3 linked regions of the Arabidopsis thaliana genome follow. The protein of the gene in region 2 purifies or fractionates together with the protein of the main gene of each other region. This does not show direct contact. Each region holds a gene or a part of one and is shown on either strand. Other genes may lie near its edges.

Region 1 (6,377 bases), on a different chromosome or scaffold from region 2:
TCTAATGAGGAAAAAAAGAATTTTTCGTGAAGAAAAATATGTGATCTTTGGGGAGTGAAGAAAGAAGAAGAGAGAAACTAATTTAAAGAGGAGGTTTGATTTTCTCTGCTATGATTTTTTTATATTTTTTTTTACCGTTCGATTGTTATAGGGAGTGATGATACTTAGACTTGTCGGAAATTTATCACGTGTTTGGAGATTGAGGTTACAAATGGTTGTCTTAAGATGAATAGTTGGAAAATATTAAGTTGGAAAAAAATGAATTGAATATTATTCAACATGTTCCTCTACAAAAATGTAGTTGAATGAGTTGAACATTTTTGCTGCAGAATTTGTTCAACTTTTCAGTTTTTAAAGTTGAATGGGTTGAATCATTTTTCAACTCTTTCATCTCAAATGGTAAAAAATAAGATGAATGCTAATTCAACTCTTTTAACTTCTTCATTTAGGTCAACTATTTGCAGCCTAAGGGTTAAACGATGACCTTTTTGATCGGTTTATGTTCAGTTTTGCTCATAAGCGCCTAACCCTAAGATCGCGAAAGAGAATCATCGCGTAAACCATAACCCTAAGAGAATCGGGAAACTACTCACAGTTTCATGCGAACCAGGAGGAGTCGGAGGATTTGCGTCCAGAGGATTTGCGTTCGGAGGATCTGCGTCCGGATATTTGTTATCGGAAAAGAATCCATTTTTCTAATGAGGAAAAAAAGAATTTCTCGTGAAGAAAAATATGTGATCTTTGGGGAGTGAAGAAAGAAGAAGAGAGAAACTAATTTAAAGAGGAGGTTTGATTTTCTCTGCTATGATTTTTTTATATTTTTTTTACCGTTCGATTGTTATAGGGAGTGATGATACTTAGACTTGTCGGAAATTTATCACGTGTTTGGAGACTGAAGCTGCAAATGGTTGTCTTAAGATGAATAGTTGAAAAATATTAAGTTGAAAAAAATTGAATTGAATATTATTCAACATGTTCCTCTACAAAAATGTAGTTGAATGAGTTGAACATTTTTGCTGCAGAATTTGTTCAATTTTTCAGTTTTTAAAGTTGAATGGGTTGAATCATTTTTTAACTCCTTCATCTCAAATGGTAAAAACTAAGATGAATGCTCATTCAACTCTTTAAACTTCTTCATTTAGGTCAACCATTTGCAGCCTAAGGGTTAAACGATGACCTTTTTGATCGGTTTATGTTCAGTTTTGCTTAAATAGGTGATAAAAAAGTTTTTTCTTATTATTATAAATGGAGAGGTTTGAGTTCTTAACTTAGACCATCTCCATTGATTAGAGACTGTGAAAGTCTCTCCAAAATAATATTTTAATGTAATTTAGTTTTTGATTTAATTTTTAATTCATGAAAAAATAAACTAATTGATATATAACACATGACATAATGAACTTCTCATCGTTTTTCTCCTCTCTTATACTTTTTCTATTCTTTTAATATTATTTTGGTAGAAATATCTAATTCTTATAAAAAAGTTTATATAACTTTTCAATAAACATATTCACTATCTAGTATTTGTAAATCAATATCTAGTTCTTATAAATCAATATCTAGTATTTTACATGTTAAGTCTCCCAAATGGGTTCCTTACTTCCTTCTTGTAAAATCCCTAAATTTTTCCAATGGTTTTTCGGTTTAACATGAGACAAGGAAACATCTATTTTGCTTATTTAGATTGTTGTATCCGTCATCGATGTTGCGTTGGTGGAAAATGATAAACCTTTGAATGGTTCATTGATATACATTTGAAAATGCAGAAAGTTGAGTTCTTTAGAATATTGCAGTCAAAAATAGAATTCCCCTGTGAAACCAGAACGTAGTCTTTTTTTCTTTATTCTCATGACAACTAATGAATTTCAAGTAGAATCCAACTTTTAATCTTGTGGTATGTGGTAGCAAAAATTGAAAAGTTGAACAATAGTCTCAATCTCCGAAACGCAAGAGGATGAAGTTTAAAATCAATGTATTCAAACAAAATCTTAACCACATGTTTCTCTAAAACAAGATCCAAACCAAAATAGAGCAAGTGTGACAAAAAGAAGCACAAAATCGAGAAATAATTAGAAGATGTCTAATAGCAAACATGGCTTCAAAGAAGGAGTGATGCAGAACAAAAACCATATTGCTGCTTTTGTCCTCTTCAAACGTCTTACTTCTTCTTGGTATCACCAGCCTTGGTCTACACTCACAAAACAATGCAAATATCGTTAAGACAAAACAGGCACAAACATAACAATAGCAAATGTAGATTTCTGGTTAGTGTTGGTCTCTCTTACCTTCTTAACACCACGGATCTTCTTCGCCCTGTTCTTCCTCTCCTTGATCTGTTTCCTTGATTTCTCAATCTTGGTGTCAAGTCCATTCTGTCAATCACATCAACAATCATTTCAGTATGAGATTGCAACACCATTGTTTCATCGCAAAGCAGTGAAAATCAAAGCACCAAGAGTAAGCTAGACTAAAAACTAGAACCAAAAGTTTTACTTAACTATCAAACAAGTAAAGAGAAATTACCCTGATAAGTCTGTACTTAGGCTCAAACTTCTTAGCGTTCTCGACAGTATCATAGATCAAACCATATCCAGAAGATTTACCACCTCCAAAGTGAGTTCTGAACTTGAAACAGAAGATAGCATTTGGGTCCTTAACCTCATACATCCTCGCCAATTTCTCCTTAAGCTCAGCCTTCAAACAAGTAAAGCCCCACCCAGTACACAACATCACTAAGAAACAATACACAACTGCACAAGCTTGGATTGTAATCAACACAAGCCAATGTACGTAAAGAACATACCTTTGAAACATTGGCTCTTCCAGGATGAAGAACATCAATAACCTACATTAATTGATTCAAAATCTGATGATTAATACTCCAAATGCAACATCGAAATGAATCCAAATACTAAACATCAAACCTAAAAGTTGCAAAATTCAAAATTTCCTCTAGCAATACATCAAAATGATCAATGAATCTGTTCTTATAAGATTGTTTCTACCTAAACTATAGTTTTTATCATTCGATACAGCGAAGACGTAACACTGTGAGATTGCAAAATGGAACATAGAGATGGGAACTCACGAATTGCTTTCTGGCGAGAAGCCTGTTGGTCATGAAGTTTCTGGTCCTGATAGTGACAGCTTTTTCCGCCATGGCTGCGATTTACTTTCCGAGATCAGTCTCTGAGCTCCGGTTTTGAAAATCGACGAGTTTCGCAGCGGCTTTGGAAGGAGGAGCACACTAAACCCTAGATTATTTATATATAGCTCTCTTTCAGATTATTAGGGTTGGTTTCGTTTGATGGGCCGAATTTAATTGGGCCTTACAATATCCATGCCCAGAGAATAGATTAGTTTGTTTCGGGTTTGATATACAAAGACAAAACAATTGTCTATTTTGATCATTCATGTTATAAAAACATACTTTCATATTTTATTTGATTAACGAACGACAATATCATTGTATACTGTATAATTATTTCTAATCTTTTGTTTACTTATTTTTGATTTTTATTTTCTAGAAATTTTCTTTTAATTAATTTAATTCAAATAAACATATATATTATAAATTGATTAGCTGCAAGAAGTTTTTAAAGTTTTTCCATGTGTTTATGTCAATTAAATGAAAAATATTTAAGAGGAAGCTACATGGCATAAGACAAATTGCAATCACATCTTCTCTCGATTCTTTTCATTTCAACCAAAACAATCATATGTCATCCTTCAATCCTAGCATATATTACCACGTCATAACGATTCTACACAAATTGTCATGTTAGAGCAGGTCCATTGGGGATTGAAAATTTCTTATCAAGAATCCTTAGCAAAATAAGACAAAATTTAAATGAAACATGTGATATAAACTTACGAACGACCTAAGCTTAGAGTTTTTTTTGGTGTTAAGGTTCGATGACGTGTCCATTTCTCATTGGACGCGTGTTTTGACAAAACAATATTTTTTTTTCAGTTGCCTGTGGTTTTTCTCATTTCTGGATATCTCTATTCTCTTCTTTGGTGCGATGGCGATTGAACGGTCTCTGATGATCATCAGCCTCACGCGTTCATGTTCATCAAATCGGAAGAGAATATCAACGAAATTCGTCTCTTATCCACTGTCCTCATCATCTCAACCGACGGTGGTCAACATGGACGAGTTTGGTGAACCAAATCGGAGAGAAAACGTGCATAAATTGGAGATTTGTGTCAAGCCATGGTCCAATCAAATTCTGAATATATAGATCTAACAATTTAATTGTGTATATCGGGATTAATTAGGGTTATTGTTAGATTTTATCAAAATTAGGGTTTCCTGAATAGGGAATTTTAGAAGATAAATTAGGGTTAATTGATGGTAATTGTTGACATTTCTAAGACAAGAATAGATTGATACTCATTGAGCTTATTAGAAGAGAAATTGAATAGCTCATGAAAAGCTTTATTGTGCAAAGAATCTAAAGAGAGAGAGAGAAGCTTTAAGATTGTCTAGAAGAACAAAAATGATTTTGATTGTGATTCATATAAATGTTTGAGGGTGACTGCTCAGAGAGGCAGCCTTGGTTACATGACAACATCATAGATATATATATATATATATATATATCTTATTATATAAAGTACGGAGTTACTAACTCACGAGATCATGACACGTGTCAGGTCTATCATTGAGATGTTGACATATGTTAAAAAAAAGTTTCTTTAAAAAAAAAAAAACATATTTACATATACTAATTTATAGTTCTATATCTAAAAAATTTAACTTATAATTTTTTTAATTAAAAAGGAAAACTAACAATAAGATGAAGTGTATAGAATTAAATTTTATTTGTATTGAAAAATTGGATTGTATTTGAATTGTATACAATCGAACTAAATTGTATTGTATTATGATAAAAAAGATATTTAAATTGTATTGTAAAATCGAATTTGTAAGATTGAAATTTAGTTTAAGGAAATACTAAATTAAATACTGAAAAATATGAGTTACAATTTAAAATTCAAATATCATCAATAAGTTGGAGTGTATAAAATTAAAAAGCAGTTTATTATGATGAAAGAGATAGTTAAAATGTATAGTAAAATTGAATGTGTATGATTGAAATTTTATTTAATTCAAAAATTACTAAATTAAATATTAGAAAAAGTGTGTGGATCACTATTTACTATTCAAATTTTAAATATTATCGATAAATATTTGAATAAATTTATATCTTTTACCCGCCTATTTAGGCGGGCCTTATCTAGTATATATATATATGAGAACTCTTAGTACAAAACCTAATAACATGGGCATAGATGGACTTCTCTAATAATCATTTCTTGGGCTTCTATGTTTGCTCTAATACTTCCCCGCAAACTTAGCAGCGGGTGTGAAAACGACGTTGTTAAGTTTGTCTTAGATGATCGAAGAGCTTGATTTTCAGTGCATGATCTAATGAAGGCACATAATCTATGTGTGCTCTTATCTTCTCGAATCAGTCTCAATTTTGAACCCAGCAAATATGAAGGATTATTAGCAGCAATATGAGACCAAGAAACATGCACTTCACAAGATTCACTTCATGTCTTGAAAGGATCTAGATTTTGTATCTTCAGAGGTAGCAATAAAAGTTTCTGGCTAATTCGGATGGCTTGACTTGGGTGAGACAACATATGTAGCAAGATACAAAATCAAGATCACTTGGATGTAGATAGCAGCATCTCTTCACCACAAAATCAGACATTAGTGTGAGAACTTTTAAGGTTCTTTTGACCTATTTGTCTCACGAAGAGTCCGTGTTTTCTTTACCTCGTTTAACTCCCCTAAGCTGTCCCATGTAAAAGAAGAATTCTCTTCCCACAACTACTTAGATCCTACTTGCTATCTGCTAAATATGACAAGAATAGATTGATGCTCATTGAGCTTATTAGAAGAGAAATTGAATAGCTCATGAAGAGCTTTATTGTGCAAAGAATCTAAAGAGAGAGAGAAGCTTTAAGATTGTCTACAAAAACAAAAAAAAATTCGATTGTGATTCGTATAAATGTTTGAGGGTGATTGCTCAAAGAGGTAGCCTTGGTTACATTAATCCATAACATACATTACATATATATATGAGAACTCCTAGTACAAAACCTAATAACATGGGCTTAGATGGCCTTTAACCCTTTCTCTAATCATCTTTCAAGCTTTTTGAAACTCCTAACTAGTCAACAAGATAATCAAACCATTCCACCAATTTAGTATGAACGTTTTTCACCTACCATAGAACTTGTATCATCTTACGTCCATGTTTTATGTTTGTTCTTAATGTTGGTTTCTTGTGTTTATTTGCTCTTACTGTAGGTTTCTTATCTTGTGTCTGCAGGTGGTCGACGATATCACTTGTGCAAAG
Region 2 (6,377 bases):
ATGGTGATGGTAATAAACTAACCATTTGTTTAAGGCGTATGAATTTTAAAACTTTTACTGCTAAATTAATTATCTTGCAAGAGATTCTTAAGAATTGGAGTATTTGCTAAGAAATGGCAATCGTTATAATAGATGTTTTGGATTCTACTATTTGTTCCACCAAGATAGTTTTTTCAAGTTCATATACAAATTTATATGATAATATAACATATTGTCATTTACTTATAAAGCGTATATCTATGTTGCCATTTGACTTCACAATTTTTTAAAGCAGAACCTACGTGCAAATTTTTTTTTGTCAACACGTAAAAAGTATTAATTAATTTGATCAAATCGGTGTATATTTTAGTTTTTTCAATGGAGATGGTCAGATGGGTCAATTGTTTGCTAGTGACCACAGATCGTGTACAACGGGTACTGTCGGTACGTGCATGCATTGAGTCCGAAACTTGGTAATCAAAATGGACTGTCTTTCACGCGTATAGAAAAAAATAACAATGTTGTAAACATCATAATTAATGATATTTTATTTCTGTCACATGTTATTTGATTTTTTTTTTTTTTTTTTTCATTTTTCCAACATTAAATCCATTGATGATAACTATAGGATAATCTATGCATTGAAGTTCCTCGAAATCCACAAGACGAACTTCTCATTTCCTTAATTGATTCTAGTCATGCATACAAATTAACATTCGGTGATAGATGCAAGATATACTATTTTAATCATTAGTTTCCTATGGTTTGGTTTGGAACATATAGTAAATAAAAACCATAAAGAATAATGATGAAGAAGAGTCCATAGGGGTAGGTTTCAATTATAGATAAGGTATAAGCCTAGTGTTGAAAGATTAAGACAGCTAACTGTATAAAAGCTTAATAATTAGGTTTGTAAACTCAACATGTATCAGTCATTATCATTTAAAAGTTGGTAGGTAAAAAAATACACGAAATAATCATCATGGTCAGCTTCATTTTCATAAGTAAGATATCACTAAGAGATGGTAGTTAAAAGAGGTAAAAAAGTTGTTGGTAAGACAGTGATACAGGCAAAAATTGTGGTCTCATTCAACACGGGAAAAAAGTTGCTGTCTTACGCATGTACTGCAGTAGGAAACAGAGATAGACAAAAATGTGTTTTTATCATATCCAGTTTCTGTTGCTGCAGAGTTTTAACAAAACAAAATCACCTTAATAAAATATTAGCGTATAGAAAACATTCAGTTATAGATTCTAATGGAAAAATAAAAGTCAAGCTCATTACACTACAAAATCATTTCATCTTCCACATATTGAAAGCTGTTGATGCAGAGCCAAGAGTGGTCTGTTGAGTCACTCAGAAGACACCTTCATCTTTTTGGCAACAGTCTCTTCCTTATGCTTAAGCTTAGCGTCTTTCCGCTCTCTCTTCGATCCCTTAGATTTATCGAACAGTTTCATTTCTTTCAGCTGCACAAAGATCGAAAACATATCAGTTTGGGATGATAATAAAAATAATAATCTCCAGATTCGGATATTGGCGTTTATCGCTTTCTTTCTTACCTTCTGATCAGGCATATAAATCTTCCCAGTCTTCCCTAGTACTGCATCTTGATCAACGTTTTTCTCCTGTAGAAGAAGAGATTGATTGATTAGTCATCTGTCTCTTTCGATTTTAAGAGAAATATTAGACTTTTATGTTGTTTAGTACCTTCTTCTTAGGCTTATCCTTGGATGTTCTCATTGCTTCTTTCATTAAGCTATCGTTAGGAAGACGATTACGCCTGATAACCAAGTCCATGGATGGACCGACTTCAACAAGCTCCATTCTCGGAACAATGGATCCTGACTTTTTAAGCTTCAATGCGCAATGAGTAAGGAAAACCTTTGTTGGGGATATAGCTGAACATACGTAAGCGCGGTCTAAACCAGTAAGATTTAGATTATCCACAACCTGCAGACATATACAAATTCTGTTATAAGCCAAATCCATATAGAATCAGAATAAAATTGAAACTGGTTATGGAATTAGCTGCAAAAGTAGGTCATAAGAATCAAACACTTCACCTCGCCACGAAAAAGATCAGTGAGGACTTCTTTGAGATGCTTAAGCTCTGATACATTCTCAAAACCTTCACCAATAAAGCAAATGAAAGGCTTTGTTCCTTCATGAGGTGCGAATTTCTTGTCATACGAAAACGCCCGCAAGGATTTAAAGTTCTCAATCCCAACTTCTATAAGATCATAGACTTGGTGATCATACATTCTCCCAAGTACAAGATTGTCAGGTCGTTTCTTCGTGTGAGAACCATACTGCAATATAAAAACAATCACCAATGTTAGAACTCGCATCAAAGTTAATTTGCCAATACACCTTTCCAAATGACTTCTTAAGGCCTGTGATAACATCAGCCAATCATACCAATTTCCACCATAAATAAATACACATAGACTAACAAGACAGAAGCAGAGATGCCTTAGAATGAATCTAGATCACAGGATAGATCATCTTAATAACATTTTGTTCTATCTAGCAGTTCATAGCTAAGTTAAGAGGAGAATCAAAGTTGCAACACCATAAAACCAAGATGCAACAGCTGCCAAAGCTTATGAACTTACCACAAAAATGCTACAATCTGTTTTCTGAGAGAAGAACTCTAATGAAGTTTCACCTCCACTCTCGAAAGGCCTAATATTCTCATTCCTCCTTGAATATCTGATGGCACCTCCCTTCTTCAAACGGTAGAGTTCCGTCATTACAGAGCTAAGTGTAGCACTCGTCTTTGTTCCATGAAGTATCAACGTCTTCTTCCCAGTTTCAACCTACAAATTCCAAAAACAACCAATTCAGATACAAAGTTTGCAACTTTCAATCGATTCTTTGATAAATTTATCGACAAATAGAAAACCCATGAGTCTCATAGATGTCAAAACAACATTGAAGACAGCTCTCAACATGATTCACTTCTCGGTTTTAAGAAGGACGAAGGAGAAAAAGAAGAGAACTTTACCAACTTAGGAGCTCGGCTTTCGAGAACACGCTTGGCTTTGCCAGTCTTCGGAGTTCGTATTTCCATCATGACTCTGTTAAATCGCCGGAAAGTTTCACAAGCGACGGCTCCGAAAGAAGAGAGAAAGGTTTTTCGATTGATTGATATGGAGTCTAGGGTTTTAGTGCCTCCTCACAATTGGAAGCAACTTTAAGAGAATTCTAATATGACCCCTAACCTTATAAGTCTGTCCTAAATCACCCCACAGTTTTTTATTGACTATAAAACCCAATGTTTCACAAGGTCCATGAACTGTTTAAACTATACGGGCTCAAATTAAACAATGACAGCCCATGAACTTTTACACACAAAAAAGACATTTCATTGCGGTACAAAAAATTTACAAATTTTTATTTATGTTCACTTTTATATCCATGATGATGAAACTATACAAAACGAATAGAGAACATGAACATATTCCAAATTCGTTTCCATGTTATTATTCGAGTTGTTAAGGAGAAGAAACAACAAAACATTTTGATTGATGCTTCGTGTGAGATTTACAAGTTTCTCCCAATGGTACGATCAATGATCTTCACGCCTGACATTGTGCAATCGTAACTTGCTTCCCTGTTTTATAGAGAAGAAGGAAGATGCATGTAAGAGATATTTACATGGAACTGTCTTCTCCTCCACAACCACTTGCTTTTCATCCTCAAAAGGAAAAAAACTGGTCACTCACTACTGAATCAGACAGACAAAGTATCTCCAACTTAGATTCACCACAGAGATCTCAACCTAATAGTCTAGACCTCAAGATATTATAGTAAGGCATACCTTGCATAGACTTCTCGAGGTCTTGTAATTGTCTGATGAAACCAGCATTAGGACTTGCCACGGGTCTTTTGCTTTTAACATGTTGCAATGCTTGAGCTAAAGTCATACCGTGTTTCTTCATGAGGTAAGCAACAACTATAGTGACACTGCAAGTAAAAGGGACAAACCATCCAGGCTAAATATGTACTTAGTTTTGAATACTATCCAGCAAACAAGGCGAAAACCGCTAGATATTGAAGGAAGCAAACAAAACTGACCTCCGTGATTTGCCAACAAAGCAATGAACAAGAACACTACCGCCTTGTCTCTTGGCTTCATCAATGAAATCAACACACTCATCGAAGTACATTTCTAGATTTGTATCTTCCTTATCCACGACTATCACATAGAAAAACAATCAAACAAGCAATTCCATCCCAAAATCAAAAACATATTCTCTCTTCAACTAGATAACAAAGTGAAACCTTTAATAAGTTTATACCTCGAACAACCTTGTAAACAAAGTCATCAGGATGAGCTGGTCTCAACGAACTAGCAACAGTCAAAATATGTGTAACATTGTAAGATTTCAAAACATTCTTATTACTAGCTGCTGCAACAGATCCAAGATAAAGACCCTGAAAAAGTCAAATTCAACAAAAGGTTTGATCTTTGATAATGAATCATTGGTCATTTGGTTGGTAGAAAAAACCTATGAGTATTAGTAGTAGTAGTAACCTGTTCAATAAGGGAAGGGACATTGTCGTCTCTATAGGTACGAGCAACTTTAATAACACGAACAAGAGCTTGTATCTGATTCTTCACCTTTTCATTATACTTTTCTATTCCTGGTAACGAAGAAGATGACGAAGAAGAAGAAGGTGATCCTCTGTCTCTAGAACTCCTGATTTCATCGAATCAGAAAAAAGAAGAAGAGAGTTTACATATCAAGATCGTGATCATAGCAGCAAGAATCAAAATCAAAATCAAAATCCAGGTCACCGAAATAATGGAATCCGATTCTGATGAATGATCTTATAACCGAACAACGGTGAATCGAGAATTACGATTACAACGACGGAGTAGTGATTGGTTTAAGATCAAAAGAAGAATTCGATTATCAAGGAAGAAGAACTTACATTGGAAAAGAAGGAATACGAATTCGCCAAAGGAGAAAGAGATTTACAAAAAAAAAAAAACGAATCTTTGAAATGGGTTAAAGAGGAAATTGCAACTGCATGGTTCTCCAGGTTTTTTGGGGGAAGGAGGAGGAGGAGAGGGAAGGATGTGTTCAAAGAGGGCCAAATAGTAAAATTTCCTTTCTATCAGAAAAATCAGAAATGTTTTAACTTATTAGCTCAGTCCTTATATTATACTCAAAAATTTGTGTTTGGGATTTGTGCTTTGTAGGCTTGGTTTCCTGCTATTAGGCCCCCTGGATTAGTAAGAAGTAGTGTACTTGGCTGAAACTGAGGCAACGGTGTTGTGAATATGTCAGCAAAACTGTACAGAGGCAGAGATGTATCGAGTGATGATGATGTTGTTGTTAAAGACTGTTTGTTATTATGACGTAGTAGTAATCTACTTTAATGTTTTTTTCGAGGGCAGTAGAGCACAAATCTACTTCAATATAGTCCATCGAAGTTCGATATTTTACTTCGATAGACTATCTAATCAAAGCCGGTCTCGACGAGTTTCTCGGTTTCCATTTTGGTACGGTCTTTCCCATTCCTAGAAATTGTGCATGAACATGAAGTACTTCCTTGCTCACTTGATGCTGTCTTAGGCTTGTTTAGAAATAGGACCCTAATTGCTTTAAGAAATCTGACTAAAAAGTAATGGACAATGTACAAATGTACCCTCAGCACACCCTCTAAGCCCGGTCCTGGCACATATCGACGAGTTTGTCGGTTTCATTTTGGTATGGTTTGGTTTACCCACTCCTTGCTCACTTGTCTTAGGCTTGTTTAGAATTTGGGCTTATGGGCTTGGTTTGCTACGTCACCGTATACGTAACTTCGTCACCTCAAAAACTATGCGAGAAAGAGTGACTTAAGAAGCAACAAAAAGATAAACCAAAAACTATACGTTCTTCTTGTATGATGATGACGACATTGACTTTGAAACAGTGTTATCTAAAAACGATTTGATCGGAAATATCTAACAACGATTCAAGAAAACCAAATGAAATTTGCAATTTCCAAGTACAAATTCGAGAAATTGAGTAAACATAAACTTGGTAGAAGAAAGAAATTATTTTTCTAATTACAGATCGAAAGAAGATTCTTCAGAGCCAAGTAACAGAAACCAAGGAATTAGCAAGCCCAGATTGTTCAAAAGTAGTATTAGATCCAAAATAAAGATTCTTATAATCCCCAGGAAACCCTTGAATCAATTTAAAACGCCGCTTTCTCTCAGAAGATTCATCACCAATCTGCGAATAACAAAACGACCAAAGAAGCTGAACAGATTCACTCTTTAAGAAACTTCTCTGTATTCTTCTCCCATCTGGTAATCGAACGCAGATTCTGCACAAAACGCTTTGATCCATATCGCGATTCGGTTCTTCTGGTAAGTTAGGGAATCCGAATA
Region 3 (6,377 bases), on a different chromosome or scaffold from region 2:
TGAAGATGGAAGACTCCCTCCGGTCACTTGCTCTCTCCCTCCCCCTAACGTTTCCCTCTACCGCAAGGTACATATGTACACATTCTCATTACAAGTACACTCCATATAAATCATGTTTCCAATTCACTGAGCATTGAACCAGTACATATATGTGCTTGTAAAGTTGGGAGCAGAGTTTGTTGGGACATTGATCCTGATATTCGCCGGAACAGCGACGGCGATCGTGAACCAGAAGACAGATGGAGCTGAGACGCTTATTGGTTGCGCCGCCTCGGCTGGTTTGGCGGTTATGATCGTTATATTATCGACCGGTCACATCTCCGGGGCACATCTCAATCCGGCTGTAACCATTGCCTTTGCTGCTCTCAAACACTTCCCTTGGAAACACGTCAGTAGTTTAATCTTATTTGTTTTAACACATTTTTGGATGTTACTGAGAGAACCACATGAAATCTATAGACATGCACATGCATGTTGTATTATGAATTGAATTTTAACATGGGTAATAAAAGTATATATAAAATCTGATCATATAAAAGGGGTTCTATATAATTGTTATAAAAATAATAATGTTGGTGTCTAAATTTATGTTAGGTGCCGGTGTATATCGGAGCTCAGGTGATGGCCTCCGTGAGTGCGGCGTTTGCACTGAAAGCAGTGTTTGAACCAACGATGAGCGGTGGCGTGACGGTGCCGACGGTGGGTCTCAGCCAAGCTTTCGCCTTGGAATTCATTATCAGCTTCAACCTCATGTTCGTTGTCACAGCCGTAGCCACCGACACGAGAGCTGTAAATTACTTATAAAAAACGTTTTTGAAGAGTCTTGAAATTTTGGACGTCAATGAAAACTAATCACAAGATTACAGGTGGGAGAGTTGGCGGGAATTGCCGTAGGAGCAACGGTCATGCTTAACATACTTATAGCTGGGTAAATAAACCATCATTTCTTGAATTCAGTTCTTGTACATAATAATACATGTTACTGATCATGATGTTGTGTCCAACAGACCTGCAACTTCTGCTTCGATGAACCCTGTAAGAACACTGGGTCCAGCCATTGCAGCAAACAATTACAGAGCTATTTGGGTTTACCTCACTGCCCCCATTCTTGGAGCGTTAATCGGAGCAGGTACATACACAATTGTCAAGTTGCCAGAGGAAGATGAAGCACCCAAAGAGAGGAGGAGCTTCAGAAGATGAAAAACACTCGCTTCTATATTACTCTGTTTACATCACATAAATATATGTGTATAATATAATATCTGAAGTCGACGATGCTTATAAAATTTGGAATGCCCTTTAACCAAAATTGCAAGTGTTTCATCAAAATGGTTGGTTTTTAGCCTCGTACAGATCTTTTAAGGAAAATATAGTAAGTAGCTAGCGATTACAACGATTGCTGCTTCTAATTCATTTTGCTGATGAGATCATTGATCTTATCTTCGCGGTTTCCGGTATCTCCTCCTTCGCTGAAAACTTGTTTCTTCCGGTGCAAAACATCAGCCACAGGCTTGTTGAGTTTCAAGGGTCCCAAGAATCTCATAACTTCTCTGAAATGATCTCCGACTCTTGCTATCTCATTCACAAGGTCTTCTATGCCCAAGATTTTGTGTTCTCCTAGAGCCTAAGGTAACAAAAGTGGAAACGATTAAGAACAGCATGGTTATTATCTGGAATAAGCTCCTATACTTTTAAGAGTAGGAAATTTTACCTGTTCGATTATATTGTTGTCGGTAAGAGGAACAGGATTTCCCTCAATGATTGTGCATCCCTTTTTGTATATAAGGTCCTTAACACTCTTATCATTCGGGTATCTTCAAGAATCGTAAACATCGGTTAGCTCATACGAGAATAGAGAAACAGCATGGAAATCGAGTAACAAGGAAATATTGAAAGAGGATTGATTGTCTCTACGTACCCATAAGTGACATAAGGCTGCACTTTGAGAAGCTTTTGGAACAAACTGTCAGTTGCTTTAGCAAATACACCAGTAAAGACGCTCTTTAGTTGCAAATTGTTAAGAATCCTCTTGGTCTTTGGGTGCATATCATTCTTGCTGGTCACCAGAAAGAAAAGGCAAGGATAAGAAACAGGCAGAGATAAAGATTAAAACTCCAGGGGGAAAACAAAGCTAATTGGAGAATATCAAATACCCTTGAATGCGTATGATGAAAACCAGGTCAGATTTAACTGGTGGAGGAGATGACTTTGGCCTCTTTACTCTTTGCTTCATCCGGATCATATCTACTTCCTTAAGTAGGGATAAAATTAGCAAAAAGGGAACAGTTAAATTACAGAGAACAATGCAGGATTGACAGAAGAAACAACAAGTCCTAAGCACAACCTTGCAAAACTAGGGAGAAATCTCAAAGGAGAAACACAAAATTATCTGTAGAAAAGTTACAGTCTAAGAGATAAGTGACAAAACCTAATCATAAAGGTTGATGTATAGCTTTAATTTAACTCAAAGAATAAGCAAAAACAAGTTCTTCTAAGGTGTAGACAAAAGTCAAGAAGCAAAAATCAGAACTTGAGGCAGTAAAACGAATGGAAAAAGACAAAGCAAAAGTTTTTCAGAGAATCTGGAAAAAAAGAAGTGTACCTTAGCCCTGAACTCATGAACAAAATCTTCAGGACGTTTGATATCAGAGACTTTCTTCTTCTTCTTGCCGGAATTACCCAACTCAAGTTGCTTCTTCCTGATAAAGGCAAGCTCATCTCTGTTCTTCCTCTTCTTCAGTACTATCTCCGGTATGTAATCCAAACCCTTAGCTTCTTCCTCAGCCATTATCTCTCTACTCTTTGCTTCTACAACACAAAACAGATTGTCAGATTGAATTTTTTTGCGAAAAAAGTTTATAAACAGAGACTGAACTCAACCCTATAAGAAAGTGAGGCTATAGGGACACCAACAGAATGAACAAGATAAGAAGAACGGAAAAGGGGGAACAAATTTACCGGTGGCGGCAAAGCAATTGGGACGGCGGCTGAAAGAATTCCAAGTCGAAGTTGGTAGCAATGGCCGATTTGAGAAGCCTAGGGTTTATTAACTAAAATCTCTTTTGTGTTATTAACAACTTTGCCACCAGACCTAATTACGCTCCGGGCCAGACTCATAATACTATTGGGCTAAAAAAGCCCAATATTTATGGGCTTATGTAAGGCCTTACTGCCTTTGAATATACCTAGTTTTATTTTATAATATCTTGTGTGATTTTGTTTCTTTTAATTACATGGGATGCATAATTTCTCCATCACTGGTTGATTCAATTCAGTTTTTATTTTATTGACATCATCAGAAGGACAAATCATGAAAACGTACGTTGAAGTTGTGAATCGTTTAGTTACCTTTTGGTTTGGTCTTAGTTTGATTGCTACTTTCAAGAGGCCAACAAAGGAAGATGCTGCATGTGCCTTAGCTACATATATAATCTGTCGGTTATTGTTATAGTTCTTTTTTTTAATATGATCTTTGAAGAAAAGTCAGGTTTCCAATGACTTGAACAAGAGAAAAACTTTTACAAATTGGTTGTTTTTGTTACTCCATCTTCGTTGTCTAATGGTGCTAACCTAAACTTGAGAATCTTGTGGAGTTTGGCAACAGGTTCAACTGTCTTCTTCTGTGGCGTCTGGTTATCACCTTGTGCAAACAGACAAATGAAGAAACCGCAACCCCAAATCAGCATCTTGAAGGGACAGAATAATTACTTGAAACAATAACATGTGTTTCCATGTTTGATAATAAAGAGGAAAAGTGAAACTAACCTTTGTCAGAGAAAGCAAGGCATGTACCAATCGTTGCTATATATTCTCCTACCTGAGAGATCATCAAATCTAACACGATTAAGAATGGTTTAAGCAAAAAGAGTAACTGAACTTGGAAAATTGTACTAGTTGCAAGTAAGAGAATTACCAGCTTCATTTTGCCATCTATGGTCAACACCGGATTCAAAGTATCCAAACCCTATGAGAACCAAACAAAACCAAACTTATAAAACAAGAGAATGCAAAAAGTGAAATGAAAGAATTGGATTGAACTAACTGATAAAGTATAAGGAGCATCTGCTGGAATGTCAATGTGCCTTGAAACGTCATCAAGATCAATCATAACATGTTCATCCTCCATCTCTGTATCAATGTGTTTATTAGGGTGGAGAAGAACACAAAGATATTTATGAATCCTAAAACTTTCTCACTTTCTGAACGCGATTAGATCCAAGAAATTATCATTCTTACATCTCCTAAACAACAAATTTATGTTGAGAATGGTTCACCTCTTTCTTTTTTTCCTTTCAATCTTTCGAGCAAATTCGAAACCCTTCTTTAAGTGAGGGAATCGAAGAACAAGCCTGATGAAGAGGAAGAAACAAAAAAAAAAAAAAAGTAGATCAATTGGTTTCTCTGCTTCTTCTATGTGAAAAATTTGCTCTGTTATGAGATATCAAATTTGGGCCGAATATTATAACGTAAAAGCCCAACCGAAGGAGTGGGGACATTATTTGGGTGAACCAAATCTTTCACCATTATATGGGCTTGTGGGCCTAACTGCCTTCGAATTTACTTAGCTTTTGCGAATGAATGAATAACACTAATAAAAGCTGGTAAGTGGTGATCATTGACCAGAGTTTCGGTCGGTCGGTGGCAACTGAATTACGCAAAATCGAACCAATGTTCGTCGAGAGATCACGGACGTACCTAGCACCTCGGATGCTCAATAACAGGTTTTGTCTGTCTTTTGCTTGGTCTTAATTCTTGTTGGATGGCATCACGTAGGATTGAAGTCTACGCAATAGAATTTGAAATCTTGAGATTAAAAATCATAAGAAATAAAATGGTTCCAAATGATTATAAAGTCAAAGATAAACCAACAAGAAAGAGCTAGACAGTTTAAGCCGCCATTGTTTGAGCATATAGCTCTTGCTAACCCAAAAAATTAAAAGAAAGTCTAGAAAATGAAGTATGATTCCTAAAGATAGTTTCATCATGACGACTTGATGGAGACTGTCAATCAGATTTGATCCTTTGCCTGCATGCATTCGGGATACTTGAATGGCAGCTTGATTACTGGTTCATCATCCGTCAGTCCTTGACTCGCCATACCAAAGGCATATCCTAATGCAACCCCTACAGGAACTGCCACAGCATTCCCAACCTGGATGTACCTACAAAATTTAGATTCAAACCCAGTTTTTACATACATTAGGATCTCCAGTTTAAAAACAATCATATACATAGATAGAAAAGCAGCAAGAACCAAGGACTTACTTTTCCTTAATTGTTCCACAGAGCTTGTAACAATCAGGGAACCCCTGTAATCTCGCATTCTCACGAACAGACAACACACGGTTTTGCATTGGATGGATTACACACTGCATCAACCAGTTTTAATAAACCAGCCACTAGAGAATTCTAAGTGGAACGTACCCAGACACATGGGAAATGAAAGCAAAAGGGCTTACCTGGTTGTGAGGTTCAGCCCTTGTCACAACAGTGTTAACGATTTCATCACCCCAAAGTCTACCAAACGGCCTGAAATTCAGATAACAGATGTGTTACTTTTAATGAATTTAACATTCTTACGTTATGGAAAGAGGATCCACAAGAAGCATATTAGTTGGAGAAACTCACTTTTTTGATTTTCCTTTTATGAATGAAATTGCATAAGCAGGGACCTGTGAAAACCAAAAGACATGTCATATAGAAGGTGCAAAAAGAAACTAGAGCAGAAAAATGATAAGGTTGCGAGTGGTTTATTTTATACCACATTTTTTCCAGATTTCAACTTTGCTCGAAACCTAGGATTAATTTCCGCTTTGTTGTTGTGAACTAAAACACCAGGCATGTCGCGATAGTTTGCCCCCTGTAACAATAAGAATACAATGACATGAACAAGAAATGATTATACATTGAATGCTTGAAGCAAGTACTTTAAAAATGTCGCACCTTCTGTTTTGGTATGTAGGAAACTCTTTCCAAGTCATCATCTCCTAATACGAGGGGTTGGTGATCAAACAACCTGCGTGTCGGATCTCCACCAAATGCGGGTAAAAGTGTCTCTGAAACAAGAAAGATACGTTAGTATTGGATTAGTGGTACCTACCAAATTTACGAGTTTAAAATGCTCACCAGATCTTTTGAGGCTAATAAAGTTCTCAAACTCTGTCTTAGGAGCAGCATCATTATAATCCATTACATCATTTGCCACATAATTTGTCACCTGCAGCACTAAGAGAGCAGTGATCAGACAGATATATTGTAACATAATCATCAATGGCAGTTCTGAAGTTTAGATACACACCGGTGGCAGATCACTAATAGCATCAGCCAGCGTAAGAGCGTTGTCCAATTTAAGGAACTCCATTTGAATACGTCCAACT

The links.
Region 1: the proteins of AT3G23620 (region 2) and AT5G28060 fractionate together in Arabidopsis thaliana (co-fractionation; one large-scale study listed by BioGRID). This does not show direct contact.
Region 3: the proteins of AT3G23620 (region 2) and AT1G80750 fractionate together in Arabidopsis thaliana (co-fractionation; one large-scale study listed by BioGRID). This does not show direct contact.

Annotation. Positions count from the first base shown.
Region 1 is NC_003076.8:10,067,633-10,074,009, forward strand, and holds AT5G28060 (Ribosomal protein S24e family protein), read right to left. Parts: upstream 3,268-6,377; 5' UTR 3,161-3,267; coding exon 3,089-3,160; intron 2,846-3,088; coding exon 2,804-2,845; intron 2,695-2,803; coding exon 2,524-2,694; intron 2,373-2,523; coding exon 2,286-2,372; intron 2,189-2,285; coding exon 2,159-2,188; 3' UTR 1,808-2,158; downstream 1-1,807.
Region 2 is NC_003074.8:8,476,829-8,483,205, reverse strand, and holds AT3G23620 (Ribosomal RNA processing Brix domain protein), read right to left. Parts: upstream 3,182-6,377; 5' UTR 3,060-3,181; coding exon 2,991-3,059; intron 2,803-2,990; coding exon 2,599-2,802; intron 2,293-2,598; coding exon 2,047-2,292; intron 1,934-2,046; coding exon 1,691-1,933; intron 1,609-1,690; coding exon 1,543-1,608; intron 1,450-1,542; coding exon 1,333-1,449; 3' UTR 984-1,332; downstream 1-983. Other genes in the region: DSPTP1 (dual specificity protein phosphatase 1), read right to left, coding at 3,555-3,670, 3,807-3,952, 4,064-4,184, 4,288-4,423, 4,524-4,689, 4,925-4,926; AT3G23605 (Ubiquitin-like superfamily protein), read right to left, coding at 6,073-6,377.
Region 3 is NC_003070.9:30,345,463-30,351,839, reverse strand, and holds AT1G80750 (Ribosomal protein L30/L7 family protein), read right to left. Parts: upstream 3,171-6,377; 5' UTR 2,959-3,170; intron 2,809-2,958; 5' UTR 2,789-2,808; coding exon 2,603-2,788; intron 2,252-2,602; coding exon 2,154-2,251; intron 2,057-2,153; coding exon 1,919-2,056; intron 1,815-1,918; coding exon 1,712-1,814; intron 1,625-1,711; coding exon 1,406-1,624; 3' UTR 1,276-1,405; downstream 1-1,275. Other genes in the region: NIP6;1 (NOD26-like intrinsic protein 6;1), read left to right, coding at 1-67, 164-388, 595-789, 867-928, 1,008-1,200; AT1G80745 (Transcription factor TFIIIC, tau55-related protein), read right to left, coding at 3,519-3,640, 3,766-3,817, 3,914-3,964, 4,043-4,126; CMT1 (chromomethylase 1), read right to left, coding at 5,009-5,162, 5,266-5,369, 5,460-5,529, 5,629-5,672, 5,762-5,860, 5,944-6,056, 6,127-6,217, 6,299-6,377.